Anolis sagrei: one gene and its partners. The protein of the gene in region 4 purifies or fractionates together with the protein of the main gene of each other region. This does not show direct contact. Links are inferred from orthologs where the notes say so. Each region holds a gene or a part of one and is shown on either strand. Other genes may lie near its edges.

Region 1 (7,835 bases), about 160 Mb from region 4:
TTATATATAAATCTTTACAAGCCTTCCGTCTATTTTTTTATCATTTTGAAGGAGAAGGCTTTTTATAAGCTATCAAACTCAAGAAGTTACAATTATATTTTTAGCTTAGTTTTTACAAAATGTAATAACCGCTCAACATAAAAGTTTTATGGAAAAACAAAGGTTTGCTGTACAAATATGTTTGAAAGCTTGTGAATCAACAGTGTTGAAATTATCCTGCCAAAAACAGAAGCCCCCATGCAGTGATTCAATAGGAAAACTCATTTGTTTCTCTATCAATACTTCACATTTATTGTGTGCTGGACAAACTAAGACCCCACCTAGGCCCCTTCCACACAGCTGTATAAAATCTGCATTGAACTGGATAACAGTGTAGACTCAGATAATCCAGTTGAAAGCAGATATTGCGGATTATCTACCTTAAATTCTGGATTATATGGTTTTGCAGATTATGGCCCCTTCCACGCTGCCATATAAAATCCATATTATCAAAGCAGGCAATCCACATAAGTCTACACTGCAATATAATCCAGTTCAAAGTAGAAAATCTGGATTTTATATGGCAGTGTAAGATCCTTCCACACCGCCATGTAACCCAGAATTTCAAGTCAGATAATCAACAATATCTTTCAATTTGATTATCTGAGTTGACACTGCTATATAATCTAGTTCAATATGGATTTTATACAGCTGTGTGGAAGGGGTCATAGAAGGGGGCTCATATAATCCACTTCAAAACAGATAATGTGGATTATCTGATTTGATAATCTGGTTATATGGCAATGTAGAAGGGGCCTAAGGCCCCTTCCACACAACTGAATAAAATTCCACATTTTCTGTTTTGAACTGGAAAATATGGCAGTGTGGACTCAGATAACCCAGTTCAAAGCAGATGTTGTAGGATTTTTGCCTTGATATTCTGGGTTATATGGCTGTGTGGAAGGGCCCTAGAGCACAGTTCACCAGTTTTCCTTTCTCACCAAGGTTTAACATGCCTTTTCTCTTACGACTCATGCAATCCCTTTCAAACATTAACTTTCCAAACTGTTTTCATTCACCTATAAAGGAGCTGATTCTCTGGCAAGGCTAAGTGATCGATCCAAAACCATTGTTCCTCTCTATCATTCAGCAATAGTTCATGAATCATCTTGTGAAATGCTGTGTAGCCACTTAATAAAATAAATAAAAATAAAATAAGACTTGCTTTTTGAAAGGCGAAACAGTGGGCGTATTTGCAGGAGAAAAGCCTTCCAGAGAAAGGTTGGCAGTTGTTGTTTCCCACCCCAGTTACACAAAGACTTAACCTAGGGCCCTTCCACACAGCCATATAACCCATAATATGAAGGCAATAATTCCCCCAATATCTGCTCTGAACTGGGTTTTCTGAGGGCCCTTCCACACAGCCATCTATCCCAGAAAATCAAGACAGAAAATTCCAAATATCTGTTTTGAATTGGGTTATCTGAGGGCCATTCCTAACAGCCATATAACCAAGGACGTCAAGGCAGAAAATCCCCAATATCTGCTTTGAACTGGATTACCTGAGGGCCCTTCCACACAGCCATCTAACCCTGAAAGTCAAGACAGAAAAACCTGAATATCTGATTCGAATTGGGTTATCTGAGGGCCCTTCCAAACAGCCATATAACCAGGGGCGGCTCAACCCATTACGAAAAGTAAGCATTTGCAGTATAGTTGATTTTGCCCAGGGGCGCTCTTGAGGCGGTCTTGGGGGAAAATAGACCTTGACATATGCGAGTTGTAGTTACTGGGATGTATAGTTCACCTACAATCTAAGAGCATTTTGAACTCCACCAGTGATGGAATTGAACCAAATATGGCACACAGAACTCCCATGACGAACAGAAAATATATATCAGTGATTGGTTGGGGGGAGGGGGGCGCCAAAATACTTTTTGCTGACCGTTGAAAATTACCTAGGGCCGCCTCTGCATATAACCCAGAATATCAAGGCAGAAAATCCCCAATATCTGCTTTGAACTGGGTTACCTGAGGGACCTTCCACACAGCCATATAACCCAGAATATCAAGGCAGAAAATCCCCAATATCTGCTTTGAACTGGGTTATCTGAGGGCCCTTCCACACAGCCCTATAACCCAGAATATCAAGGCAGAAAATCCCCAATATCTGCTTTGAACTGGGTTATCTGAGGGCCCTTCCACACAGCCATCTAACCCTGAAAGTCAAGACAGAAAAACCTGAATATCTGTTTCGAATTGGGTTATCTGAGGGCCCTTCCACACAGCCATATAACCCAGAATATCAAGGCAGAAAATCCCCAATATCTGCTTTGAACTGGGTTATCTGCGGGCCCTTCCACACAGCTATATAATCCAGAATATCAAGGCAGAAAATCCCCAAAATCTGCTTTGAACTGGGTTATCCGAGTCTAGTTCAAAGCAGAAAATGTGGGATTTAATTCAGCTGTGTGGAAAGGGCCCACAGGATCCTTTCTTCAAAGCACTTCGGATCCCCGCCCTTCGAGGAGCTTCCTCATTCGCCTGGCTGGTGAGGCGCATAGATCTGTATGCTAGAAAACACACCCCACCCCTTCCTTCAGTGTGGGTTTGGTGCCTTCCTAGAGAGCCGTTAGAGCCGCCCTCCGCCGTCGAGGCTGAGCGGCCTGAAGCCTTCCCCGCCCTCAGCCGGGCCTCTGAAGGCCAAGCCGGTGCTCCTCGGGCCCTGTGAGTGAGCACAGGAGCAGCCCCTTCCCCTCGCCCTGCCTCCCTGCCTCCCTGCCCTCTTGCGATGGCTGCCTCCGCCGCTCCTCCTGCAGGCCCCTCGGCAGACCACAGGGCCCTCTCCGCCGGCGCCGCGCCTCCTCCGCCGCCTCCTCCGCGGAACCACGCGGGCCCCCCTATCCCCCCAGGGCCCCCTTGGCCTCGAAGGCCTCCTCGCAGCCCAGCCGCCCTGCCCCCGCTCGCCCTTTGCCCTCCCGGCCCGGAGACGGGCAAGTCCTGACTTACCTGTCATTACTTTCTACGCCATCTTGGATCCACTTGTCAACGTCCGCGCAAAGCATTGTGGGCGCGGAGAGGGAAGCGGGCCCTCCTCCTCCTCCTCCTCCCCCCTCCCTCCAGGCATTGCTCTTCGCCCAGCAGGGAAAAGTTGGGCCGCTGAGGGAGGGAGAGAGGGAGGAGGGCTTGCCTTCTTTGCTTCATGGTTGCCAGGCCTCAGAGGCAGCCAAGCGGGGCCTAGCAGTATTCCAGCTCCCGAAGACTACTCTTCTTTCTGTTGAGACTCCATACTGTCGAATGAAAGGCAGTTGGATAGCCACTTTGTCTGGCCTTTCTAACAGGCCCTCTTTGGCAGAGAAGCCTAAGTCTGGGGGCCCTTCCATACAGCTGAATAACATCCCACACTGAAACGGATTATATGGCAGTGTGGACTCAAGGCCCTTTCAGGCAGCCTTTTAACACTGGCCCTTTCCACTCAGCTGAATAAAATCCCACATTTTCTGCTTTGTACTGGAATATATGGTGGTGTGGACTCACTTCTTGGGAGGAGAGCAATGACCAAGCTCGATAAAAGACGCCTAGAGCATCTTGGATGGAGGGCGATTAATAAGTAATTAGATGATGATGATGATGATAAAATAGTGAAGAGTAGAGACATCACATTGGCAACAAAGATCGGCATAGTTTTTTGTTTTGTTTTGTTTTTTTGTCGTGTCATGAGTGACTTCAGAAACTGCAAGTCGCTTCTGGTGTGAGAGAATTGGCCGTCTGCAAGGACGTTGCCCAGGGGACGCCCAGATGTTTTGATGTTTTACCATCCATGTAGGAGGCTTCTCTCATGTTCCCGCATGAGGAGCTGTAGCTGATAGAGAGAGCTCATCCACACTCTCCCCAGATTGGAACCTGCGACCTGCTGGTCTTCAGTCCTGCCGGCACGGGTTTAACCCACTGCGCCACCGGGGGCTCCAATTCTAACTATGAGGTTCTATCATACACCATGGCTGCATCTACAGTAGTCTTCAAACCCAGGGGATGCCAGGATGTGTGTGTTTTTTGTTTTGTTTTACCATCCTTGTGGGAGGGTTCTCTCATGTTCCCGCATGAGGAGCTGGAGCTGATAGAGGGAGCTCATCCACACTCTCCCCAGATTCAAACCTGCGACTTGCTGGTCTTCAGTCCTGCCGGCATAGGGTTTAACCTACTGCGCCACCGGGGGCTCCAATTGTAACTATGAGGTTCTATCATACACCATGGCTGCATCTACAGGAGTCTTCAAAACCAGGGGACGCCAGGATGTGTTTTTTTATGTTTTACCATCCTTGTGTAAGGCTTTTTTCATGTCCCCGCATGAGGACCTGAAGCTGATAGAGGGAACTCATCATCCTCTCCCCAGATTCCAACCTGCCACCTGTTGGTCTTCAGTCCTGCCAGCACAGGGGTTTAACCCACTGGAGGCTCCATCTGCATAGTCAAAGCAATGGTATTCCCCGTAGTCACCTACGGATGTGAGAGCTGGATCATAAGGAAGGCTGAGCAAAGGAAGATAGATGCTTTTGAACTGTGGTGTTGGAGAAAAGTTCTGAGAGTGCCTTGGACTGCGAGAAGATCCAACCAGTCCATACTTCAGGAAATAAAGCCTGACTGCTCATTGGAGGGAAGGATAGTAGAGGCCAAGATGAAGTACTTTGGCCACATCATGAGGAGAAAGGAAAGCTTAGAGAAGACAATTATGTTGGGGAAAATGGAAGGAAAAAGGAAGAGGGGCCGACCAAGGGCAAGATGGATGGATGGCATCCTTGAAGTGACTGGCTTGACCTTGAAGGAGCTGAGGGTGGTGATGGCCGACAGGGAGCTCTGGCGTTGGCTGGTCCATGAGGTCACAAAGAGTCAGAAACGTCTGAACGAATGAACAACAACAAAGTTCAAAACAGGTATCACAATCAGATACAGTGAAGACATCTGCCCTTGCGCTGTGCTACTCACAAAGTAGGGAACTTATTCTGGGAAATATTTATTTGACAATAAAAATCCCCCCCCCCCCCCCCCAAAAAAAACCTGATATGATATACAGAAAAGCTAGCAACTCTCTGCCTGGCCGAATACAAAACCCTTTTGAAAGATCACCAGCACACACCCACTCCATAGTGCTGCTAAGCCCTTGGCTTATATGAGGTGAAAGAGTGTGATTGTGTCAGCCCTAAGGCTTGTGTTCCCTTTTAAAGCTGTTTCTTTAAAGGTACGCTGTAACCATTAGTTTCTTCAACACTGCTTAAAGTTACTTTGGAAATCTTCAAGCATAGAGGCACACTTGAGTCAGGTTTTGATGAACAAAAATCAACAAGGTTTATTATTTAGAACAGGAACAAATGCAGTTATTATTTTGGCTGTTACAGAAAGTTGTGTCTTAAAAGCGTGATGGTTACACGAATGGTTCTATCTTTGTTACTTAAGAGAATCTTCTCTCCCTCCAAAACAAAACAAGAAACTAACAGGACAGTGTCTCTGCTAGAGATTCTTCAGTAGCCCAGATAGATCTAACCTGATACTATCCTGCTATTACCCAGCTAATCTATTAGCTGCAAGTCTGCTTCAGCTACCTTGCTAGCAAACTTCTGGCCAGACTTAGGCCTTTACTTCTAACACCACTCCACTCCTAAACACCCTTTCTCTTCAAACTCCAATTCCTCCAGGGATCTCAAAAACCTCCTAAAAAGCAAGTTTTTCTCCTCTTTGCAAGCCAGGCTCCGCCTCCTCTGACTTGGCTAATCACATCCCTCTCTCATTTTCCCTCCAAAGACTGATTTAAATACACATGCCCCCTCCTGGAAAATGAGCCATCAAAATGGAGTCCCTCGGCACCTTCTTCTAAGATGGCTGCCGACTCCTTGGGTCTACCATTCTAGACCTAAAATAGGCCTGACTGGAAGTAGATTCACTACACATGCCCAGTGTGGAACACATCTCACCATGCTAAAACAGTGGATGTGGCTCTTAATGAGACATGCTGCATTATCACGGGGTGTCTGCGCCCTACACCACTGGAGAAATTACACTGTTTAGCCAATATTGCACCACCTGACATCCGCCAGGGTGTAGCAACCAATAGTGAAAGGACCAAGGCAGTGACATCTCTGGCCCACCCGTTTGGGTATCAGTCAGCACGCCAACGACGTAAATCAAGAAATAGTTTTCTAAGATCTACAGAGACACTCGCTGGAACACCTCAGCAAGTGAGAGTCCAAAAGTGGCAGGCTCAAACCCAGAACCTCAATCAATGGCTGATACCAAATGAGAGACTCCCTCCTGGGCACACAGAAAACTGGGCAACTTGGAAGGCGCTGAACAGACTGCACTCTGGCACCACGAGTTGCAGAGCCAACCTTTAGAAATGGCGCTACAAAGTGGAGTCCATGACAGGCGAATGTGGATAAGAGCAAACCACAGACCACCTGCTGCAATGCAACCTGATCCCTGCCACATGCACAATGGGGGACCTTCTTGCAGCAACACCAGAGGCACTCCAAGTGGCCAGCTACTGGTCAAAGGACATTTAATAGAATACCAAGTCTGCAAACTTTGTGTTTTGATTGTTTGTTTGTTTTTAATGCAATACAACTGTTTTGGTTTGCTCCTGACACGATAAATAAACAGGTATTGTGGGATTTCCTGCCTTGGTATTCTGAGTTATATAGCTGTGTTGAAGGGCCCCGAGAATATAGAATATCAAGGCAGATAAACCACAATATCTACTTTGAACTGAGTTATCTGAGTCCACACTGCCAGTTTTGAGCAGATAATGTGGGATTTTATACAACTGCGTGGAAAGAGCCTCTGGCCCCTTCTGCACTACAGTACAGATCACCAAAGCAGATAATCCACATTGCCTGCTTTGATCTAGTTAATCTAGTTCAAAGCAGATCATGTAGATCATCTGCTTTGATCATCTGGATTATATGGCAGTGTAGAAGGGCCCTGGCAGTGTAGACTCATAATCCAGTTCAAAGCAGATAATCCGGGGACCCTTCCACACAGCTACATAAAATCTACATTTAACTGGATTTTATTTATTTATCTGAAACATTTATATTCCACCCTTCTCACCCCGAAGGGGACTCAGGGCGGAGCACAACATATATATGGCAAGTATTCCATGCCGGAACATAAAATAACTATAAATATACACAAACACTAAAATCAGTTATATTTACTTTAAAATCAGTTGTTTAAAACCATCTATATGGCAGTGTGGACTCAGATAATCCAGTTCAAAGCATATATAGTGGATTATCAAGGTTGATATTCTGATTCAGATGAATGTGGAAGGGCCCTGGGATTAGATCCTGAGATACAGGGCAGTGTAGATCCAGCCTCTGTGTGTTGGCTGCAATGGGTGGGTGTGTTAACAAAATGTAATGAGAAATGACAATGTTTTAAAATATATGTTATCTTACTATATATGTGAGGAGCCCCCAGTGGTGCAGTGGGTTAAACCGCTGTGCTGGCAGGACTGAAGACCGACAGGTTGCAGGTTCGAATCCGGGGAGAGCACGGATGAGCTCTCTCTATCAGCTCCAGCTCCTCATGCGGGGACATGAGAGAAGCCTCCCACAAGGATGGTAAAACATCAAAACATCCGAGCGTCCCCAGGCAGCATCCTTGCAGATGGCCAATTCTCCACACCAGAAGCGACTTGCAGTTTCTTAAGTCGCTCCTGACACGACAAAAAAAAAAAAAAACCAACTATATGTGTGCATGTGTAAAAGGTTTTCATGAGATAAGATTTCAGCTCCAAAATGCCAAATAATATTTTAACTGAATACAGCTGCATTTAGTAGCATATATTCAGTGCAGATTGC
Region 2 (7,780 bases), on a different chromosome or scaffold from region 4:
GGGAGATGGCAGCGGGGTATAAATAAAGTTTATTATTATTATTATTATCATAACATAAGCTCTCTTGTATCACATTATGTTATATGATACTAGCTGTCCCCTGCCACGCGTTGCTGTGGCCCAGTCTGGTGATCTGGAAAATGAAGTAATTAGAAAGTGTTGGTTTCTAATATATGTAATGCCTTGATGCTTGTGGGTAAACAGCATTTCTTGCTGTGTCTTTGTCAGTGTTGATGTGGAGAGTATCTGGTTTGCCTACTTTGGAACATGCAACATATAATTGTCCATCTTAAGGGGTCCCTTTCAAATCTATGATACTATGATAATATATCATATTCATGATACTATATTTCAAATCTATGATACTATATCTCTCTGTGTGTGAATCATATATATCTATCTACATCTATGGCTGGATGGCTCTTTGTCAGGAGGCCTTTGATTACATTTTCTTGCCCTGGTGAAGGGAGTTGGAATGGCTGGCCATGGGGGTTTTGTGTGGGAAGTTTGCCCCAAGTCTGTTGTTGGTGGGGTTCAGAATGCTCTTTGATTGGAGGTGAACTATAAATCCCAGTAACTACATATCCCAAATGTCAAGGTCTATTTCTCCCAGACTCCATCTCTGTTCATATTTGGGCATATGGAATATTCGTGCTAAGTTTGGTCTGGATCCTTCATTGTTTGAGTCCACAGTGCTCTCTGGATGTAGGTGAACTACAACTCCCAAACCCAACGTCAATGCCCACCAAACCCTTCTAGTATTTTCTGTTGGTCAGGGGAGTCCTGTGTGCCACGTTTGGTTCAATCCCATGATTTGGTGGAGTTCAGAATGCTGTTTGATTGTAGGTGAACTATAAATCCCAAATGTCAAGGTCTATTTCCTCTGAATGCCATCTCTGTTCATATTAGGGCATATGGAATTTTCATGCCAAGTTTGGTCTGGATCCTTCATTGTTTGAGTCCACAGTGCTCTCTGGATGTAGGTGAACTACAACTCCCAAACGAATGTCAATGCCCACCAAACGCTTCTAGTATTTTCTGTTGGTCAGGGGAGTCCTGTGTGCCAAGTTTGGTAAAATTCCATGATTTGGTGGAGTTCAGAATGCCCTTTGATTGGAGGTGAACTATAAATCCGAACAACTACAACTCCCAAATGAGAAAATCAATTTTTTTTCGTGATGATCATTTCTTGGGTTAGTAGGTGTCTTGTGTCCAAATTTGGCGTCAATTCGTCCAGTGGTTTTTGAGTTCTGTTAATCCCACAAACGAACATTACATTTTTATGTATATAGATTTCTCTTTTTTTGGCTTTTATGTTATTGCTGTGTTGATTTACTGATGTATGTATTGTAGGGCTTGGCCTCATATAAGCCGCCCCAAATCCCTTTGGGGATAAAGTATTATTATTAATTATTATTAATTATTATTATTAATTAATAATAATTATTATTAATTATTATTATATACACACACATATACATAAAAAACAGCATAGTAATACCGAAGCACTTTTATACAGGCAGTTAGGTACCTTTCTTTTTTTTTGGAGTGGGAGAAAACTTCTCCAAGGAGTAGCCAGGCCCCGCGGATATGGAATTCGTGGATAAGGGGCTGCTAGGCTCCATTCCTTTGTGCTCCAGGAGAGAGAAATCCAGGCTCCGTCTCTTGCAAAAAGCAAAGCGGTGGCGGAGGCGTGCGTTTGTGCGTGCGCGCTCCCGAAACGCAAGCAAAGGAGAAAAATAAAAGGGGAGGGGGGTGTTGTGTTTCCTATCATATGTGTTTAAGATGTAATAGAAACAAACAGAGATAATTGTATGTAATAGAAATGTTATCAGATTGCAAAGAAGTTAAGAGAAACAAATGAATGATGAAGTTATTATAGAAGTTAAGAATAATAGACGCTTCCGATTTAGTCGAGATTTAGTCTTCCCTGTTAGGATGCAAAGCCCTTGCTTTCCAACCCCAATAATGTTTGGATGCACCTTACTGATTGTTATCCTCCTGGGTGTTTATTTCGTGTTGTAATTAAGGGAGAGGACTGCAAAGAGAGAAAGGTTCCTCGCTTTGGCACCTTCAGGGTCTTGAGTACCCCTCTCAGTCTCCATCATGGCATTGCAAAACCCCCAAATGCCCAAAGACTTGGGAGAAAGTCTCCTTCAAAGTGTGGAGTACCCCTCTCAGTCTCCATCATGGCATTGGAACCCCACCCCCCAATGCCCAAAGAATTGGGAGAAAGGCTCCTATCTTGGCACCTTCAGAGTCTGGAGCACCCCTCTCAGTCTCCATCACGGCATTGCAAAACCCCCAAATGCCCAAAGACTTGGGAAAAAAGCACCTTCAAAGTGTGGAGCACCCCTCTCAGTCTCCATCATGGTATTGGACCCCCCCCCATGCCCAAAGAATTGGGAGAAAGGCTCCTTTCTTGGCACCTTCAGGGTCTTGAGTACCCCTCTCAGTCACCATCATGGCATTGCAAAACCCCCAAATGCCCAAAGACTTGGGAGAAAGTCTCCTTCAAAGTGTGGAGTACCCCTCTCAGTCTCCATCATGGCATTGGAACCCCACCCCCCAATGCCCAAAGAATTGGGAGAAAGGCTCCTATCTTGGCACCTTCAGGGTCCTGAGTACCTCTCTCAGTCACCATCATGGAATTGGAACCCCCCCCCCCCCCCCAATGCCCAAAGAATTGGGAGAAAGGCTCCTATCTTGGCACCTTCAGAGTCTGGAGCACCCCTCTCAGTCTCCATCACGGCATTGCAAAACCCCCAAATGCCCAAAGACTTGGGAAAAAAGCACCTTCAAAGTGTGGAGCACCCCTCTCAGTCTCCATCATGGTATTGGACCCCCCCCCCCCATGCCCAAAGAATTGGGAGAAAGGCTCCTATCTTGGCACCTTCAGGGTCTTGAGTACCTCTCTCAGTCACCATCATGGCATTGCAAGACCCCCAAATGCCCAAATACTTGGGAGAAAGTCTCCTTTCTTGGCACCTTCAGGGTCTTGAGTACCCCTCTCAGTCACCATCATGGCATTGCAAGACCCCAAATGCTCAAAGACTTGGGGGAAAGCCTCCTTTCTTGGCACCTTCAGAGTCTGGAGCACCCCTCTCAGTCTCCATCATGGCACTGCAAGACTCCCCAAATGCCCAAGGAATCGGGAGAAATCCTCCTTTCTTGGCACCTTCAAAGTCTTGAGTACCCCTCTCAGTCACCATCATGGCATTGCAACCCCTCAAATGCCTGAAGACTTGGGGAAAACCCCTCCTTTCTGGCACCTTCAGAGTCTGGAGCCCCCCTCTCAGTCACCATCATGGCATTGCAACCCCTCAAATGCTCAAAGAATTGGGAGAAAGGCTCCTTTCTTGTCACCTTCAGGGTCTTGAGTACCCCTCTCAGTCACCACCATGGCATTGCAACCCCCAAATGGCCAAAGACTGGAGAAAGGCTCCTTTCTGGCACCTTCAGAGTCTGGAGCACCCTTCTCAGTCACCACCATGGCATTGCAACCCCCAAATGCCCAAAGACTGGAGAAAGGCTCCTTTCTGGCACCTTCAGAGTCTGGAGCACCCTTCTCAGTCACCATCATGGCATTGTAAACCCCCAATGCCCAAAGACTTGGGAGAAAGTCTCCCTTCTTGGCACCTTCAAAGTGTGGAGCACCCCTCTCAGTCACCATCATGGCATTGCAACCCCTCAAATGCCTGAAGACTTGGGAAAAACCCTCCTTTCTGGCTCCTTCAGAGTCTGGAGCACCCTTCTCAGTCACCATCATGGCATTGCAACCCCCCCAAATGTCCAAAGATTTGGGGAAAAGCCTCTTTTCCGTCACATTCAGAGTTTGGAGCACCCCTCTCAGTCTCCCTCATGGCATAGCAAGATCCCAAATGCCCAAAGACTTGGGAGAAAGCCTCCTTTCTTGGCACCTTCAGAGTCTGTAGCACCCCTCTCAGTCTCCCATCATGGCATTGCAAACCCCCCCCCCCCCAAATGCCCAAAGACTTGGGAGAAAGGCTCCCTTCTTGGCACCTTCAGAGTCTGGAGCACTCCTCTCAGTCCCCATCATGGCATTACAAGACCCCCAAATGCCCAAAGACTTGGGAGAAACCCTCCTTTCTTGGCACCTTCAGAGTCTGGAGCACCCTTCTCAGTCTCCATCATGGCACTGCAACCCCCCCCCCCCCCAAAATGCCCAAAGACTTGGGAGAAAGGCTCCTTTCTTGGCACCCTCAGCGTTTGGAGCACCCTTCTCAGTCTCCATCATGGCATTGCAAGACCCCCAAATCCCCAAAGACTTGGGAGAAAGCCTCCTTTCTTGTCACCTTCAAAGTCTTAAGCACCCTTCTCAGTCACTACTATAAGCATTGCAAAACTCTCAATATCCAGATTTGGGCGTTTTCCTTTGGAGAGGGAGAGAGGGGTCTCTATTTTTGCGCATTTGGAGAGGCGGTCGGGGAGGGGGGGTGCACCCACTTTGGAGGCCTGCAACCCCAAAGCGGGGGGGGGGGGGGGAGGAAGGGGAAAGCCTGGGCTACGGCTGGGAGTCAGGAGAGGAGGAAGGAGAAAGAGGAGGAGAGGAGGAAGAGGAGGAGGCGGCGCCGTGGAAAAAGCCAGCCTCCGCAGTCGAGAGGAGGAGGAAGAGGAGGAGGAGGAGGAAGAGAGGAAGGCGGAGGTTGTTGCTGCTACTGCTGCGGAGGGCGACTCTCCGGCCTGGTAGGCCCCCTCCTCTGGTAAAGAGAGAGAGAGAAGGAAGGAGGGAGGGAGGAAAAGCAAGCAAGCAAGGGAGAACAGTGCTGCTTGGCTTTGTTTCCTTCCTTCCTTCCTTGCTTTGGTTTTGCTGCTCCCCAGGATTTGACCTTCAGCAGCCAAACGCCGGATCCTCCTCCTCCTCCCACCATTCATTCCTCTGCTTCTTTGGGAAGAGAAGGCGAAGAAGGGAAGGAAAGAGAGACACAGAGAGAAAGAGAGAAAGAGAAACCCAGCTTCGGAATCCGCCTCCGGGATCTCCCTCGAGCCTCGCCTGGCGTTGTTTGCAAAGGCGCCTTTCCGAAGGGAAGGGAGGCGTTTGGAGAAGGGACTCCCTCCCTATTTATTTGCCTCTTTTTTTTTCTTTCCAGAGGGAGGTGCCCCTTCCTTTGGTCCCCCCCCCCCCTTCCTTTCCCTCCTTTTTCCTATTTGGGAAGGAGCCTGGGAAAAAAGGAGGGGGAAAGAGAGAGAGACAGAGAAAGAGAGAAAGCCAAGCCTTTGGCGCGCCGCGTCTCCTCCCTCCATTCATCGCCATTCCGCATTTAGGATCCGCATTTGGCAAAAACAGGCCGAGGAAAGATGGGGAAGGGGCTTCGGACCCTTTGAAGGACGCCTCCTCCATTCTTGGGGGGCAAAAAGAAGAGAGAAAGGCGTCTGAAAGAGGGGGAAACGCGCCAGAAAGGAAACCTCTCCAAAACAACAACAAGATCCGCCTTGCCTTCCTTCCTTCCTTCTTTCCTTCCTTCCACTCCCATTGGATTGAATTTGTCCCCCCCTCCAAGGAAAGCGACCCCCCCAGTCGTTCCTCTATTTTTCCTCCTTTTAGAGCTTTTTGGTGGGACGAAAAAATACAAAAGGAAGAGAGAAAGGAGTCAGGAAGAAGGACCAGAAAGGAACCTCTCCAAAAACAACAACAACCTTCCTTCTTTCCTTCCATTGGAAGAAATACTGGATTGAATTTGTCCCCCCGCCCTTCCAAGGAAAGCGACCCCCCAGTCGTTCCTCTATTTCTCCTCCTTTTAGAGCTTTTTGGTGGGACGAAAAAATACAAAGGGAAGAGAGAGAGAAAGGAGTCAGGAAGAAGGACCAGAAAGGAACCTCTCCAAAAACAACAACAACCTTCCTTCTTTCTTTCTTTCCTTCCATTGGAAGAAATATTGGATTGAGTCATTTTTTTTTCTCCAAAGGAAAGCACCCCCTCATCGTTCCCCTGCGTTTCCTCTTTGGGGTTTTGGGGATTTTTTTCCATTTTTGCATTTTGGGGGTTTTTTCCAAAGGAGATTGAGAAGGAGAAGTCGTGCGTAAAAGCAAGGAGGCCTTTTGCATTGCGCACAGGAGGCTTGGAGAGAGAGGAAGGAGGCAAAGAAGGGATCCGTGTTGGTGTTTTCCTGATTGTTTATTTGTTTGTTTATTTGTTTGTGGGGGTAGGGCGGAGAAGGCAAGCCCGGCAGGAAGAAGGAGAAGGAGGAGGAGGAGAAGAAAAAAGATGGAGGTCGAAGATGCGGACTGTTTGCTCCAACGTGTGACATGTTTGCTGCTCCTGGATGACTGCAGGCGAGGCTGAGGCGCACGCCGGGATCTTCCCTCCTCGAAGAGAAAAAAGGGGCCAAAGACCCCTTTTTGGCCTCTCCAAAAGACCCCCCATCCCTGCCTTTCCTTCCTCCCTCCATTCCCTTCCTTCTTCCCCTGGCAGAGGCCTCCCCAAAGGAAAGAGAAAGAACCAAACCAGGGAAACATCCAAGGACTCCCAAACGCTTCTCTCTCTCTGTATTCTTGTCCTCCTTTCTCCAAAAGGAGCCTTTTGGAGAGAAAATCCTTCTTTTTTGGGGGAACAAGGTTGGGGAAGAAGAGTTCCACCGCTTCTCTGGAAACCCTGTACAGATTGATTAGTATTGTTGTTAGATTCTTCTGTTTTTGTGGACTTCCCAAAGGCCAGTTTTGCTCCCAACCCAGAAGGACAAAAAGAGAGGAATGAAGCCTGGCGCTGGAGGAGGGTCCCTGACCTTATATGGGGGGCTTTTGCTGATCTTGACCACGTTTTGCTTCGGGACAGCAAATGGAAAAAGTGAGTGTTTCATAGACATACCTATATATTTATGTGTGTGTGTCTGTTAAGGGGGGGGGTAGTTTATTTTTAATTCCATCTCCTCTACCAGGAGTTGGGATTGATGAAAGGACAGGCGGCTATATTTATTGGGTTTATTGGGTTGCTGTGAGTTTTCCGGGATTTACCCGGAAAACACACACACACACATGCTAAAAATAAACAACACACACACACACACACATGTTTTCCGGGCATTTACCCAGAAAACACACACACACATGTGTTTATTTTTAGCTCATATTGTCTCCTCCATCAGTTGGAAGGACAAGCTGCTATACCAGGCATGGGCCAACTTGGGCCCTCCCTTCCAGGTGTTTTGGACTTCACTTCCCATAATGTGTGTATGCAGATGATCCCTTGATTGACTGTAGTGTCCATTGCCAAGAGGATGAAGGCATGGGCCAACTTGGGCCCTCCCTTCCAGGTGTTTTGGACTTCACTTCCCATAATGTGTGTATTCAGATGATCCCTTGATTGAATGTAGTGTCCATTGCCAAGAGGACGAAGGCATGGGCCAACTTGGGCCCTCCCTTCCAGGTGTTTTGGTCTTCAGTTCCCATAATGTGTGTATGCAGATGATCCCTTGATTGACTGGTGTCCATTGCCAAGAGGATGAAGGCATGGGCCAACTTGGGCCCTCCCTTCCAGGTGTTTTGGACTTCACTGCCCATAATGTGTGTATTCAGATGATCCCTTGATTGACTGAAGTGTCCATTGCCAAGAGGATGAAGGCATGGGCCAACTTGGGTCCTCCCTTCCAGGTCTTTTGGACTTGGCATGGGCTAACTTGGTCCCTCCCTTCCAGGTGTTTTGGTCTTCAGTTCCCATAATGTGTGTATGCAGATGATCCCTTGATTGACTGGTGTCCATTGCCAAGAGGATGAAGGCATGGGCCAACTTGGGTCCTCCCTTCCAGATGTTTTGGATTTTGAC
Region 3 (8,024 bases), about 97 Mb from region 4:
TTTGCTGTCTGCATGCCACACAGCTTTAAAAGATGTGTTTTTTGCTGACATTCATCTAACACATGTGAATTAATATGTATGGTGTGATCAAAGACATATGGCATAGACGAGTATAACAAAGGTGAGAAATGGAGACAAATTTTCCTCAGTGGACTATATACCCCACCAACATTGTGCCTGAATACCTCAAGTTTTGTGCATGTCCTTCCCAAAATGATGACAGGAAATGATGTCACCAAATGAGGTTTCTGTGGGTGTGGGTGGGCTTTTGGCAATTGGTACATGTTGGAGGCTTTGTGTGTCTTTTTTTGGGGAGGGGGGGGAGCGTGATACAACAGTAGGATCTATGGGCCTCATTGGTCATAGGACTTCTTCACATGGGTTATTTTTTGGTGGTCTATGACAGGTGTTCAGCAGTTCAGCCATAGACCCCGATGGCTCTCACCATACCCTGGAGAAGTACTTCTGGGATGGCTCCAGGGCTGAACTGCTGCCAAAACCCTGCCTCAAAAACCCTGTCGCTGGTGGTGGTCCACAGGAGGCTTCCCATCTTTCCATTGGGAAAGATGGTTGAGCCAACTTAAGAAGGCTTCCCCATATGTGCTGAGGTAGGGGGGAAGCCAGGACAATGTGGGGCATGTCAGGTATTTTCCTCTGCCTCAGTAGAGTACTGGAAGCACCCCCAAGCCATGAGTCAGCTGGGTCCTAGAGTCCTTGAGCAATGCAGGAAACTTCACTGTGCAATAATAATAATAGAAGTCCTTTCACTGCAGTATGCAGGAAAGCTTTATCTTCACTTGCTTCAGAAGACAAAGCTATATACACAATATACACACTCTCTATCTCAGCTCTTTGCCCCATCCACAGCTCCATTGTCCTACAACAGACTATGCTGAGCACATAGGAGGTATCTGCTTTTTTTTACTCTCCCCCATGAGTCACTAGCTCAGTCACCTGACTGTGCTAATAAATAATAATAATAATAATAATAATAATAATAATAATAATACATTTTATTTGTACCCTGCCATCATCTCCCCAAAGGGACTTGGGGGCGGCTCAAATAAACAATATTTGGGGCAATTGTAATCTCACAAACATGATAATAACATGAGATTACCGCACACACCTACAATATTGCATAATAAAATATTAAAATTTGTAAAATGCAGTCATGACTGTGGATAAAACTGGTTGTTTTCAATTAATTAATTTACAGAGTGCCTAGGCCTAGACATGAGTGACTCTGCATTTTGCAATGTGGCCAAGTCTAAAGGCCTCAGTACCTTACCATTTTAATTATGACATTTATTTTTTAAACCATGACAGGGTGCAAGACAACAGGTTGCCATGCGCCCTGGATGAGTGCTGCTGGTATCACTGCAATCTGCGGTGATCCAGGGAGATTACGGTGGTGCATGTGAGAAGGTCCTAATAGAAAGAATAGCAAGTTTAAGTGATGCTTGCCTTCTTTCCACTGTATTCTAGATTTATAATTATAATGTATTCCTCTCATAAATCATGCAAACATAGTTCACAGTCAATATGCAGCATAAACGTATTCAGGTTTACTCTGAAATAAATTTGCTAGGTTCAGTCGGTCTTATTTCCAAATAAGCATTATAGGATTGCAGCTTTAAAATTCACACATAAAAGTATCTGTAATGCCCTGTATTTATTTGTAAATAAGTTTCAGATCTTAATCAAGATGACATTGGCAAAGAACAAAATAGCACTCTCCTGTTTCTTTGTGCAAAAGTTGGATTGACAGGTGAATCTTTCCTCAGCGTTGATAGTGAGACATAAACGTTTGCACACTGCTATCTGGGCTAGCTTTCACAGTAGACCTAGTGAAATATGCAAATATATGGATTCAATCTAAATAAAACAACAACTGGTCAAATATATTAAATAAATATTGTAATGGGAGTATCAACCATCTTTCTCTAGCAAAGCCACAGTATTCTCTCCCACAACCAAACCATAGCCTCCAGAATCCTGGAGGTAACAGAATCCATTTTCTTGGGGCTTTTAAAGGCCTCAAATGTATTCTGCCACCTGGTCATGACATATTAATGAGGCAGTGAGAACAAAGGATTGGATTCAAGGGACAAAAACATGGAAAGTTCAGAGAGGAAGGAGTAAGTCAAGAGAAAATGAATGCATTCCATTTTGTTTGAGAAGGCAGACTGAAGTTGGAGGAGGAACTTCAAAAACATGATGGAACTGGAATACAAACAAAAAGCAACAGATTCATGCTGCAGGGCAGCAAGCTTACATGAAGAAGAATTAAAGATGACCAGATAGGGAGAGCTGTTGGCTAGCAAGCCATTAAAACTTTGAATAAATAAATAAAGGGAAGGAGGGAGGGAGGGAAGAAGGAAGGAAGGAAAAGTAGCTGGGTGACTAGTGAAAATTGCCATCTCTACAGGATTTGAGATACTGGGCAAACCACATCTGGTAAAGAAGCATTAAGTACAGCTAATCCTCTCTGTAAAACTTCTTGGTAGCCACAATGAAGTTTATTGATATTTTATACTTATAATGTATTGTATATATATCCAGAAACATTTCTGTGCTATTACACATTTACGTTACCCAGTTTTCACAGTTATATGGAAGCAATGGAACACTTGATAATTACGGCATAGACCTATCTCCTTCCTTAGACCAAGAACCATTCCCTTTCACAAAAATGTGTATCTTTCTATGTAATGATGGTCACATCTCTTCCCCCCCCCCCCCCCAAATTAATACATTCTATCAATACATGAGGCTAAGACAGTGCGACTTGCCCAAGATCACCCAGTACAGGGTCCCCAAACAGAGGCCTGAGGACTGGATGCGGCCCACCGAGATCATTTACCCAGTCCCTGCCCTAAACTTTAGACTTAGGGTAACCCTAAGTCTGAAATGACATGAAGTCACACAACAACAATCCTAATTAACTTGACTATCACATCAACCAAAAGTAAGCCCACACTTCCCATTGTAATGCTGGTAATTATACTTTATTTTAAATATTGTATTGTTCTTTCATGATTTTTTTACTACAAATAAGATATGTTCAGTGTGCATAGGAATTCGTTCATTTTTTCCCCAACCTATAGTCCACCTCCTCCAGTGGTCTGAGGGACCATCAATTGTCCCTCTACTTAAAAAGTACTTCGCAACCATAAATATATATTTCAGACAGTATGACATTTGTTTATAACATATATGGCATGCTCTAGACATGGTTCACAATTGAACCACATAAGTTGGGAGCTATCATAAGGGGCACTTTTTGGATATTGACTACTTACATTTGTTGCTATCTCTACAAGTAATTATTTGGTTACACTTAGAATCATGTAATGTTGTCAGTGCTGGTGGAGGGTAGGATATATTTTACTGTTTTATTAAGTCTTACCCTTTCTGGGCTCCGCTTCCAGCTGCTGGTGTGCCGTCTCCCAGATCCCACCACTCTCACCGCTTTAAAATAGCGCACGGTCGGCTGTTATCCCAGTTCCCAGTTCCCTGGGACCGGGTCCCCTGCAGCAAGCCGCAGCTCCCAGCCTCCTCTCGTCCGGGTCTTTGGTGAGTCTCCTTGAGGGGGACCCACTCTTAGACCGTCGGTTCGAGGTGCTATGGAGATAGCGTCTCTTGGACACTCGATCCGGTCCAAGGGTTGAGGGTTACACCCCCTCTGCTTGCAGCTTAAGGGTTGGCTCTCGGGAGAGTCCCCGGAGCCCTGCCAGCTGCCATTGCCGCCCAACCGGAAGTCATAAGGGGCACTTTTTGGATATTGACTACTTACATTTGTTGCTATCTCTACAAGTAATTATTTGGTTACACTTAGAATCATGTAATGTTGTCAGTGCTGGTGGAGGGTAGGATATATTTTACTGTTTTATTAAGTAAACTCCTAATACGTTTTTTAAAAACCTACATAGCCAAACAAAGAGTTCCCAAACTTGCTGTGATCAAAATAAAGATCCTAGTAAAGTTTTGGATTTGATCTGGCAACTCTGTTGTGTGCCTTCTAAGCAAACTTTTGGAAATTCTTTTTTTTTTTAGAATATAAAATAAGTATTTAAAATTAATTTTGAAAAACTTTATGTTTTAATTTAAATTATAGTTCTCTTGGATTTTGCAAAACTTCTTCCTGCTTGTTAGGGATATAGCATGATTTAGATAAGAAGACTCAAAGTATTAACACAAGAAGATCCAGTGGGCTGAACTATTCAGAAGCATTTGAGCTTAGCATTCTTTGTAACTGATCCCCAAAGAGTAAAAGATCCTATGTTTAATGAAACCATATGTAGAAACAGGAGGAGGTCAGAAAGTTATGGCAACACTTGGAATTGATTTTTAGTTTGAGTTACCTGATCACAATCAGGAAGGAAGAACTGTCACAAACCTGATTTATTATATCATACAACAGATGGTTATGAATGGGAAAACTTTTAGAAATCTGTTTTACATTTGTTATATATCCAATTAAGAAAAAATGTAATGTAAAATAATGTGGGTTGATATGATGATCAAATGGGGAAGAAGTGAGGAATCTACATCACCATGATGTAGGGAAGCGAGGGTATAAGTGTAATTGACAAATTCCTAGGTAGAGAAGGATTTTTCTCCCACAGAGCATCTTTGGAAGGTTTTCAGTGCAATCAATCAATCATACAATTAATTAATTATGCAATTAAATCATATTTATTTGGTTTGTTATAATTTTGTTCAGTGCCAGATATGAGGAAAAGTGTTTATGGGATTTTTCCCCTCCTTGTATGCCCAAAGAATTTGGCTCGCTTTGAGGATCTTGCAACCCAGATGACTGGGGAGGGCAGGTTATCGGTTCTTCTGCCTTAGGCAGCAACATGTTGTGCACTAGGCCTTTGGTAAATTGATGTGTCCTTCCTTGTTTAAACTGACCGTCACATGTTCCTCATGCAGAGATGCCGCTGATCTCCAGAAGAGTCTTCAGGGAGGATGGGCTTGAATGGCTTTTCATGGGAAGGTCAGCATCAAAGATTCTGCAGTCCAACCTAGCCAGGTAAGACAATAGCTTGCACAAAGAGCGATTGCAGGCCAGGGTTGTCTTTTGTTTTTGTCGCAAATGCTGAGTACTGAGATACTATGGAGAATGAGTGTCATAACTCTGAGCTGTACAATTTCTACAACAAAGAATATCTAACAGTGGTGTTCACAAAATTTATAGCTAACATTTGGTTTAGCTCCTCCTTCCATTTTGTACCAATTTGTTGATTGTAATCCTAGCTGGTTTTCTCAGGTATTGTCTTTTACAGCTAGGACAATATGCATTAAATTTTGGAAACTTTAGTACTTCCTAATGACATTTTTTATGATGTAATGATTTATATGCATGTTTGTGGTATTCAGCTGTAAAAATGTACCATTGTAAGTAGACACATAATGTATACCCAGCGTGCTTTCATTTATCAGAGATCCCCTGGGAGGCATCCAAGATGTATGAATAACCAGATGTTTGCAGGAGAAAATGGGGTGCTTAATGCAAAGTTACTTGGAAAGACTAAAATAAAACAAAACACCCCTTAGGTATCTAAATGACTTAGACAACTGAGACCTAGAAAACTGTAGGTTCAGATTTATTTGACACACAATATTTGAAATGTTTACCAGACACATAGAATTTTTTTTATTTTATGACTTGGTCATAAGTGTGATTTTCAGAACTTAGAAGTATGGAAACTGAATGCACATAACACAAACCACATGTACCTGTTCCATCTGGCAAATGGAGTGATCGTGAACTTGGTGTTTCTGCTAACCTTTTCTCATTGCATTAAACCACCTTAATAACTGCTTTTTCCTTGCATGATTACTACGCCCTTTCTTTTGAAATTTATGCATATAGGGATTTAAATGCAATAGATGTCCCATGGATAGCACTTAGTTTGGTAAAATGCTATCCAGGACAAGGAATACCTATATCATTTGGGGCCAGTGAGCCAAAACCTGGAGCCAGTGGTCTCTCTGGGAGAAATTTCTAGAGTTGCGTGTTAAATCAAATTTCCATTTATATATGATGTGTTTCCAGAACTTAGAAAATTACTTTTAAGGAGACCCAGGGTATTATCCTTCAGTTATGTATGGCTCCAGTATGTCATTATAATCCATAATGTACTATATTAAATAAATACTTATGAATGAATAACTTCATTTTGTCTCCAGTCCAGATTCCAAAACCCCACTCTAAATGCTAGCAGCCACATGGAGAAATGGGTGCCTGTTCTCTTAAAAATCAGGGTACAGCATGATGACATTTCTCAGCTCCCTTCCACCAATGATTTGCTGTGCAATGAGGACCCTACTTTTTATTGTCACAGCGTTGATTGCGGTAGGAGGGAGATAGAAACATCATCTTGCTCTAGCCGGCTTACCACAACAACAGACTTTCAATCACTCTTTGTGGGTGATGGCTCTTTTGTTTTCCTTGCACCCCACTTCAAATGATATTCAAGGTATGTTTGGATGGACATTTGCAGTCATGGCAGTAGCACCACAATTGTGAATGTGAAACATGGCTAAATATGGAGCAGATACAGATCTGTAACTTTAGGTTACAAATCCATAACTGAAATGTAGGCTGCCAGTCATTGTTCTTAAAAGTAACTTCCCAAGCCCTGATTCTTTTTCTGGATTAGAATCAGATCCAAGGATCATCTAGAACAGTGGTGTCCAACCTTTGGTCCCTCAGATGTTCTGGACTTCACTTCCCAAAATTCCTGATCACTACACAAGCTGGCCAGAGCTTCTGGGAGTTAGAGTCCCAAACACCTGGAGGGCACCACTAATCTACAGCAACATGATGGTGACCAGCCACATAATCCAAGGACAGTCACGAAGGTATCCTCATACTTATTGATAATAATCTGATCATCCCTAGCCCAGTATATCCGCTATGTGCATTATTCATAACTGAGCAATGGTACCTTAGGATAAGAGACAATGCTTTGAAAGTAAGAAAACAAAGTTGTGTTAATCAAGAAAAAAATCCAAAATGTACAGCGAGTCTAAATATTTGTAAAACTGTGGGCAAGCTTTCCGGAACCCCAGATCTCTTCATAGAATAAGTTGTAAAAAGCAGAGAAAGGCTAACTGAATACAGATTTCTTGAAGTCTGTATGGTCAGATTCTCAAGATGGAATGTAGTAGATGGCACAGACTTCAAGGGACTCCTTCTAGTAGCTTTTGTACCTAATTACAGTAAGTGCCATTGGGACAATGAGCAGCATGATTGAATTTTCTCTTTATTTTTAAAAAGATAAACTTGAGTAGTTACCGGGATATGACTTTTGCCTTAGGCAACATGCACAGAAAGGTAAGTCAAGCAGTTGTTTTTAGCAAGACAGCCTCTTCAGAAAGCAAGCAAACTATTTAAAGAGAATGCTCAGGGAGCCATCTTGTGGTTGATATTCAACATGAGTGAAAGACTGCTTTGCTTGGTCACTTTTCGGGGGTAGCTACTGGCTTGCATTTCACAAAAGCTTGTACTGGATGAAATGTACAAAATTACAAGGCACTTTGTTGTTTTGCCCAATCTGCATCTGCTCAGGTCTGGGAAAAGATAACAAGAATTTTGAAGCACACTGGGGGTTTTAAAAAATGTGTTCACTCTTTTTCAGAAGTTATTTCTAAAGTAGACTAAGGCCCCATTTCCACTTATTATTTAATGCAGCTTCACTTCCAAATGAATGCTACACTGTGGATTAAAGGGGTTACAGCATATTTTTAAAATTCACAGAAAAGTCTGAGATAAGCCCTTGAATATATTGCAGAAGATGACAATATATCCCAAATCGCAGGGTGAAGCGCATCTTTAATAAAAAGGTGATTGAATAATGATCAAATGATGTCAAAAAGATTATAGTCTTGATTTAATCTGACTTTTGAACTTTTCAGTTGGTATGCTCATAATTATCCCTTTGTGGCATCTACATCGATGCCAGAAATGCATATGCATGTCATTAGGCAATTAACAATGATCAATAATA
Region 4 (7,729 bases):
CTTCCTAATGTTCAGATGGAATCTCCTCTCTTGTAGTTTGAAGCCATTGTTCCGCGTCCTAGTCTCCAAGGAAGCAGAAAACAAGCTTGCTCCCTCCTCCCTGTGGCTTCCTCTCACATATTTATACATGGCTATCATATCTCCTCTCAGCCTTCTCTTCTTCAGGCTAAACATGCCCAGTTCCCTAAGCCGCTCCTCATAGGGCTTGTTCTCCAGACCCTTGATCATTTTAGTCGCCCTCCTCTGGACACATTCCAGCTTGTCAATATCTCTCTTGAATTGTGGCGCCCAGAATTGGACACAATATTCCAGGTGTGGTCTAACCAAAGCAGAATAGAGGGGTAGCATTACTTCCTTAGATCTAGACACTATGCTCCTATTGATGCAGGCCAAAATCCCATTGGCTTTTTTTGCCGCCACGTCACATTGTTGGCTCATGTTTAACTTGTTGTCCACGAGGACTCCAAGATCTTTTTCACACGTACTGCTCTCGAGCCAGGCGTCACCCATTCTGTATCTTTGCATTTCGTTTTTTCTGCCAAAGTGGAGTATCTTGCATTTGTCGCTGTTGAACTTCATTTTGTTAGTTTTGGCCCATCTCTCTAATCTGTCAAGATCGTTTTGAATTCTGCTCCTGTCCTCTGGACTATTGGCTATCCCTCCCAATTTGGTGTCGTCTGCAAACTTGATGATCATGCCTTCTAGCCCTTCATCTAAGTCATTAATAAAGATGTTGAACAGGATCGGGCCCAGGACGGAGCCCTGCGGCACTCCACTTGTCACTTCTTTCCAAGATGAAGAGGAAGCATTAGTGAGCACTCTCTGTGTTCTTAACACTGTGTTCTTAACACATTTCTTAACACAAATAATTCAAAATCACCTAAATACATTAATAATTGTAAAAATGATTAATACAATGATCCCTAGGTATCTGCTGAGGAACTAGTGTGGTTTGACACTACTTTAGCTCCTGTTGCTCAGTACTCTAGATGGGCCCTAGCTTTGGCTGATGATTTAACAAGAACAGAGAAAAACTTGTGCCAGAGTAAATTCAAAGCGCAAGGCTATGGAATCCTGTTTGGTGAGTGCCAGCACTCTTAGGCAAAAAAGGAAATAATGATAATGATAATAATAATATTAATAGTAATAAAAACTACAAGCAGAGGCATAACACTGTTGCTCAGATGATTAATTGGAACCCGTGCCACAAATACCATCTTCCTGCGACAAAGAACTGGAGGGATCACAAGCCTGAAAAAGTTTCAGAGAATGAACACGTCAAGCTACTCTGGGACTTCTGAATTCAGACAGAGTTTTGGAGCAAAATATTCCTGACCTCACGATTATGTTAAAAAATAAAGTATGGATTGTTGATGTTGCAATTCCAGGTGACAGCAGGATTGCAGAGAAGCAACTAGAAAAGCTGTCACAATACGAGGATTTAAAGATCGAACTGCAAATACTCTGGCACAAGCCAGTCAAGGTGGTTCCAGTGGTGATCGGCACACTGGGTGCAGTGCCTAAAGACCTTGGCCTGTACTTAAACACAATTGGCGCTGATAAAATTACCATCTGCCAACTGCAGAAGGCTGCCTTACTGGGATCTGCACGCATTATTCGCTGATACATCACACAGTCCTAGACACTTGGGAAGTTTCCAACGTGTGATCCAATACAACAGCCAGCAGAGTGATCTTGTCTGCTGTGGACTCATCTTGTTGTGTTTCAAATAATAATCATAAGTTTTTATTTGTATCCCGCTTTTTTCCCTAAACAGGACCCAAAGCAGCTCACAGCATTGTGTAAAAGACAATACAAGACAATGTACATATGTAAGACAACAACCTATAAAACAATTTTACAATGAGAAATAAACCCATTTAAAATATCTAATACAGTTATTGCAAGCTACTCAACAAGACAGATGGTAAAGTTTGCGCAACTCAGTAAAAGTTAGCTTTCCTGTCATTATAGCTAAGTGTTTTCATCAAAACATTGAGCTAACAGGAGGGTCTTTAGCTGTTTTTAAAAAGATGTCAGGGAAGGTGCTGTTTTGACCTCCTTGTGGAGGGAGTTCCAAAGAGTTGGAGTGGCCAACAAGAAGGCCACTCCTCATAGGGCTTGTTCTCCAGACCCTTGATCGTTTTAGCCATTCTTCTCTGGACACATTCCAGCTTGTTAACATCTCCTTTCAATTGTGGTACCCAGAATTAGAAACCTTTAAAAAGAGTCTCAAGACCTGGCTCTGCCATTGCACCTTTGGAGAGTAGTCATACAACTTCATGCTATTGCTCCCTCAACATTCTTGTCCCAGGAGTCCCCCCCCCCCCCCCCTTTGTATGTAGGTTTGTTTATTATCCCGTCTCTCCATGAGTTCTCCCTACAATTAGTTTTACCCCTTTATCTCCCTCGGAGTTTTAAAATCATTTTATGTACATGCGGCCCACTCCTTGTCCTTATGTTCTATGTATATTGTTTATGTTCTATGTATATTGTTTATATGTTTTGATGTTTTATACTTTAATGTTATGTTGTTTATTTTATTGTATTTTTTTATTTTTTTGAATTGTAATCTGTGGTTCGGGCTTGGCCCCATGTAAGCCACTCCCAGTCCCCGTTGGGGGAGATGGTGGCGGGGTATAAATAAAGATTATTATTATTATTATTATTATTATTATTATATGTATGTTTGCATATATATGTGTGTGTGTATGGTTCTGCAAATGCATTGTAATTTTATTTTGTTTTTTGGCTTTTTAAGTTTCTTCTGCTGTGTTTTTCAGTGTTTTTATGAGTGATGGTCGATTGCTGGCCTGATAGGTGTATTGTGTCCAAATTTGGTGTCAATTCGTCCAGTGGTTTTTGAGTTATGTTAATCCCACAAATTAACATTACATTTATATATATATATATATATATATAGAGAGAGAGAGAGAGAGAGAGAGAGAGAGAATCAATTCATTTTCTGGTCCCTTCTGGAGCTTGGTAGTTAATCAACTACCAAGCTTGCAAATTTTGTGTTTTGTCTGTTTGTTTGTTTGTTTGTTTTGTTCTGTTAGAAATGTCATACAATTGTCTGGTTGCCCCTGACATGATAAATAAAATAAATTCATTTTCTTCCTTTAGTTTCTTTTAAATAACAGGTGTTTTGCAATATTTCATGGGCTCACACATTCATTTAACTTAATTTCTCAGTATCAGAAGGCAATCCTCCATGGAGGTATCTGCATAATGAATTTACACATTTAAATATCAATTGAGCTGAAATGAAATACTGATTATTGGAGTATTAAATAATTTTAACAAGCTTTAGCTGATTTATTTTCCATCCAACCAAGAAGACAAAAAGTGATCAGTATGTGTTTCTGCCCGGTTTCGAACCGGGGACCTTTCGCGTGTGAGGCGAACGTGATAACCACTACACTACAGAAACCAACTGAGTGCTTGGGGCAGCCGCTCTGCCTGATAGGAAAGAATGGCTGCAATGCAATCCACGAGGGCTTCAAAGAATTGCTGAGTCATCACTCCAAGTCTGAGTCATTCTAGTCGAGCCACACATTCTTGCTCATGTTAAACATGCTTACCATCACTGCAATTGCTAAAGTATTTTTAAGTTATCTATCTAAATTGTAGAATTAATCCGGTTTGGCACTACTTGAACTGCCTTGGCTAAATGTTACACAGTCTTAGGAGTTGTAGTTTTACAAGCTATATAGCCTTCTCTGCCCAAGAGCCCCAGTGCCTCACCAAACTACAAATCCCATAATTCCATAGCACTGAGCTATGGAAGTTGAAATGGCATCAAACTGTATTAATTAGTGTAGATCAGTTATGGGCAAACTTGGGCCCTCCAGGTGTTTTGGACTTCAACTCCCACAATTCCTAACAGCCGGTAGGCTGTTAGGAATTGTGGGAGTTGAAGTCCAAAACACCTGGAGGGCCCAAGTTGGCGCATAACTGATCTACCCATTGCAAAGCTTCAAAAAACAACTTTTTTGGAGGGAGGGATATTAATATATTATATTATTATTTTTAATTATTATTATAATTATAATTAATAATAATAATAATATAATATATTAATATCCCTCCCTCCAAAAAAGTTGTTATAATTATAATTATAATTAATTATTATTATCTATATTATTATTTTGGAGGGAGAATAATAATAATAATAATAATGATGATGATGATGATGATGATGAATGCCCAGCAGCCATCCCAAAATGATACTTGCTCAATCTTTGATACCTACATTAACCAAGGGTGCATCTACACTGCAGAATTAATGCGGTTTGACACCACTTCCAACTGCTGTGGGGTCCACTAGACTGCATGGCCATCTATGCCAGTAACTATTGCTATCAACCCACCCTATTCGCGCTAGGAATGGAGGAATCAACGTTCCTAATCTCGCGATAAGTAAAATCCCAGGGCGCCGCCATGTTGTACGTCTCTGAGGGGATTGCCACCAAACTAACCCGCTTTATTCCAGAAGCGGATTTTGCAATGGTATTTGGGATCTTTATCAGAATTAGGAATGATAGTAGGAAACTATTAGGTGATTTCCAGGGACGGGTTTCTGTACCAGCTATTGTTTTTTCTCATCCGTATATAAGAGACAGTAAGGAGCCATGTTGTTGTACGGAGCCCGCGAGGCGAGGCTACTTCCGCTTCCGGAAGACGCTGCCGCTTCCTTTCTCTTTCTGGGCCTCTGCGAGCTGGCAGGTCCGGGCGAAGGGCCGCTGCTGAATCCGCCGCCATCCTCCGTCCGCCGCGGGAGCTCGAGCCTTCTCAGCCGCCGCCATGACGGAGCAGATGACTCTGCGTGGCACCCTGAAGGGCCACAACGGCTGGGTGACCCAGATCGCCACCACCCCGCAGTTCCCCGACATGATCCTGTCCGCCTCGCGTGGTAAGGCCAAAGAAGCAGGGCCAAACCAAATGGCAAGGCCGGGGGGGGGGATTAATAAGATAAAGTGGGAGAGACCAATGTATAATGGGGGGGGGGGGGAAGAGACATATCATTCAGCCGAGAGAAGTTGGAATGGTCCAAGTTACATGGAAGGAATAGGGATTCTTATGAATATCACTAAGGGCCAGAATAACTAGACTGCGATTCTTATCCTGTAGTCACACTCCCCCATATATGCTTATGGGAGCGACCCACAGTCCTTAGGAAGTATGGCTGGGAAGTTCCATAGAGCACAGTATTTGGAACAAACCAAGTAATAGTAAGGGTTTTGGTGACTTTATATTGTGGAATAAATGTAGTTTAGCATAGAGAGCGAAAGGTCTTGTAAAACTACATCTCCCATGATCCCATAGCAGTTGGAAGTGGTGCCAAACAGCATTAATGCTATTATTTATTTATTTATGACATTTATATGTCGCTCTTCTCACCCTGAAGGGGACTTAGAGTGGCTTACAAGATATATATACATACAACATATTATATTATTACCATAGTACAATATCAGTATTATATATTACTATATTGTACTATACCATTATATTGTAATATTATTAGTAATATTACATTATATTATATTATTAAGATATCACCGGAGACAAGGTGAAATGTATGTAGACGCACTCTTGGTTATTTATTTATTTATGACATTTATATGCCGCCCTTCTCATCCCGAAGGGGACTCAGAGCAGCTTTCAAGATATATACACACATACAATATTTTAGATCATTAGCATAGTACAATATCAGTACTATATATTACTATATTGTACTATAACATTATATTGTAATATTATGAGTAATATTACATGTATTATAAATATATGTATATGCAATATAGTACATTGTATTATATTGTATTAGCATAGCACAGAAGACAAGGTGGAACTTCTGTTTAGACGCACCCTTGGTTATTTATTTATGACATTGATATGCCGTCCTTCTCACCCCGAAGGGGACTCAGAGCCACTTACAAAATATATATATATATATATATATATATATATATACACACACACACACACACACACACATACAAACAATATATTATATATTAGCACAATGTCAGTATTAAATATTACTATATTGTACTATACCATTATATTGTAATATTATTAGTAATATTACATGTATTATAAATATTATATGTATATACAATATATTATATTACATTATATTATATTATATTATTAGCATAGCACAGGAGACAGGGTGGAACTTCTGTGTAAACGCACCCTTGGTTAATGTAGGTATGGCCATAGAATCAAAGATTGAGGAAGTATCGTTTTGGGATGGCTGCTGGGCCTTCTCCCTCCAAAAAAGTTGCTTTTTGAAGCTTTGCAATGGGTAGCTCAGGCATGGTCAAACTTCGGCCCTCCAAGTGTTTTGGACTTCAACTCCCACAACTCCTAACAGCCTACCGAGTTGTGGGAGTTTAAGACCAAAACATCTGGGGGGCCGAAGTTTGTGCATGCCTAAGGTAGCTTCACGTCGAGGTCAATAGCAGGTGCATTTGCTTCTTCTCTGTCCCAATGATTAAATACGACATTGTCTACCTGATCTTCTTAATGGGATCTGAAGACAAGTCCTGCAATTATGATGGGACAGAGGAGGATCCATTAAGAAGCGGGGTGGGGAGGCTCTAGCATGTTACTGGAAACCTTTAGTTTAGAGGAGTACCACAAAATGCTAACAAAAAATGATCTCACAACTCAGAAGCGATGAAGGAGTGCTACAGGTCTCTCAGGTTTGTGAATTAGAGTGAACAGCCACCTGGCTGGCTTGGCATGCTTTGCTTTCATATTAGAATTATAGTATCACAGAGTTGGAAGAGACTCCATCTAGTCTAACCCCATGCCATGCAACAATACAGAATCAAAACACCTCCGACAGATGATCATCCAGCCACTTCTTAAAATCATCCAAACTCTGAGGAAGCAGCATATTCCACTGCCGAAACAGCTCTTACAGTCAGGAAGTTCTTCCTAATGTTTAGGCAGAATATCTTTTTCCTGCAATTTGAATCAATTCCTTTGTATCCTAGTCTTTAAGCTTGGCCCCTCCTCAATATGACATCTTTTCAAAGAATAGGGAACTCCTGAGCACATGCAGGTGGCCAAATTTTGTCATTGTGACCAGAACTAAACCCCATAACTTAAATATTTATTTATGGCATTTGTAGCTCGCCTTTCTCAGCCTTACGGCGATGCAAGGCAGCTTACAGAAATTGGCAGAATTTGATGCCATATATTCATAAAGTACAATTAGAAACATTCAACCTAATATTATAAAAACCATATAAACCATTTTATCCCCTCTGTTTTCTCTCCACTCTTCTTTTCTAGTAATCTCATCTAAGCTTGTAGAACTTCTTTTTTTTTGCTGATACATAATTGGAAGTCAAAGGAGTTTTTTTCCAATTTACGGCAAATCACCCAGAGATCTGCTAGTGAATCTTTACCTACTCTACTCAGGAGTCTCTGGTGGCACAGTGGGTTAAATCCTTGTGCCAGCAGGACTGCTGACCAAAAGGTCAGTGGTTTGAATCCGGAGAGAGCGGGTTGAGCTCCCCTCTGTCAGCTCCAGCTACCCATGGGGTGACATGAAGGAAGCCTCCCATAGGATGGTAAAATATCAAACATCCAGGCACAGTCTTGCAGATGGCCAATTCTCTCACATCAGAAGCAACTTGCAGTTTCTCAAGTTGCTCCTGACACACACACAAAAATCCTACTCTACTACCTCCTCCCTGTACTT

The links.
Region 1: the proteins of RACK1 (region 4) and HELZ purify together in Homo sapiens (affinity purification with mass spectrometry; 3 studies listed by BioGRID and IntAct, counting the BioPlex papers as one, with this or other methods). This does not show direct contact. The link is inferred for Anolis sagrei from reciprocal best matches to the Homo sapiens genes RACK1 and HELZ.
Region 2: the proteins of RACK1 (region 4) and IGF1R purify together in Homo sapiens (affinity purification with western blotting; 4 studies listed by BioGRID, with this or other methods). This does not show direct contact. The link is inferred for Anolis sagrei from reciprocal best matches to the Homo sapiens genes RACK1 and IGF1R.
Region 3: the proteins of RACK1 (region 4) and TNRC6C purify together in Homo sapiens (affinity purification with mass spectrometry; 3 studies listed by BioGRID and IntAct, counting the BioPlex papers as one, with this or other methods). This does not show direct contact. The link is inferred for Anolis sagrei from reciprocal best matches to the Homo sapiens genes RACK1 and TNRC6C.

The regions. Positions count from the first base shown.
Region 1 is NC_090022.1:180,429,542-180,437,376, reverse strand, and holds the start of HELZ (probable helicase with zinc finger domain), read right to left. Parts: upstream 3,062-7,835; 5' UTR 2,989-3,061; intron 1-2,988. UniProt on the Homo sapiens protein: May act as a helicase that plays a role in RNA metabolism in multiple tissues and organs within the developing embryo.
Region 2 is NC_090029.1:14,282,271-14,290,050, forward strand, and holds the start of IGF1R (insulin-like growth factor 1 receptor), read left to right. Parts: upstream 1-4,657; 5' UTR 4,658-6,711; coding exon 6,712-6,805; intron 6,806-7,780. UniProt on the Homo sapiens protein: Receptor tyrosine kinase which mediates actions of insulin-like growth factor 1 (IGF1). Binds IGF1 with high affinity and IGF2 and insulin (INS) with a lower affinity. The activated IGF1R is involved in cell growth and survival control.
Region 3 is NC_090022.1:121,166,862-121,174,885, reverse strand, and holds the start of TNRC6C (trinucleotide repeat-containing gene 6C protein), read left to right. Parts: upstream 1-4,952; 5' UTR 4,953-4,987; coding exon 4,988-5,041; intron 5,042-8,024. UniProt on the Homo sapiens protein: Plays a role in RNA-mediated gene silencing by micro-RNAs (miRNAs). Required for miRNA-dependent translational repression of complementary mRNAs by argonaute family proteins.
Region 4 is NC_090022.1:24,601,808-24,609,536, forward strand, and holds the start of RACK1 (small ribosomal subunit protein RACK1), read left to right. Parts: upstream 1-4,680; 5' UTR 4,681-4,806; coding exon 4,807-4,915; intron 4,916-7,729. UniProt on the Homo sapiens protein: Scaffolding protein involved in the recruitment, assembly and/or regulation of a variety of signaling molecules. Interacts with a wide variety of proteins and plays a role in many cellular processes.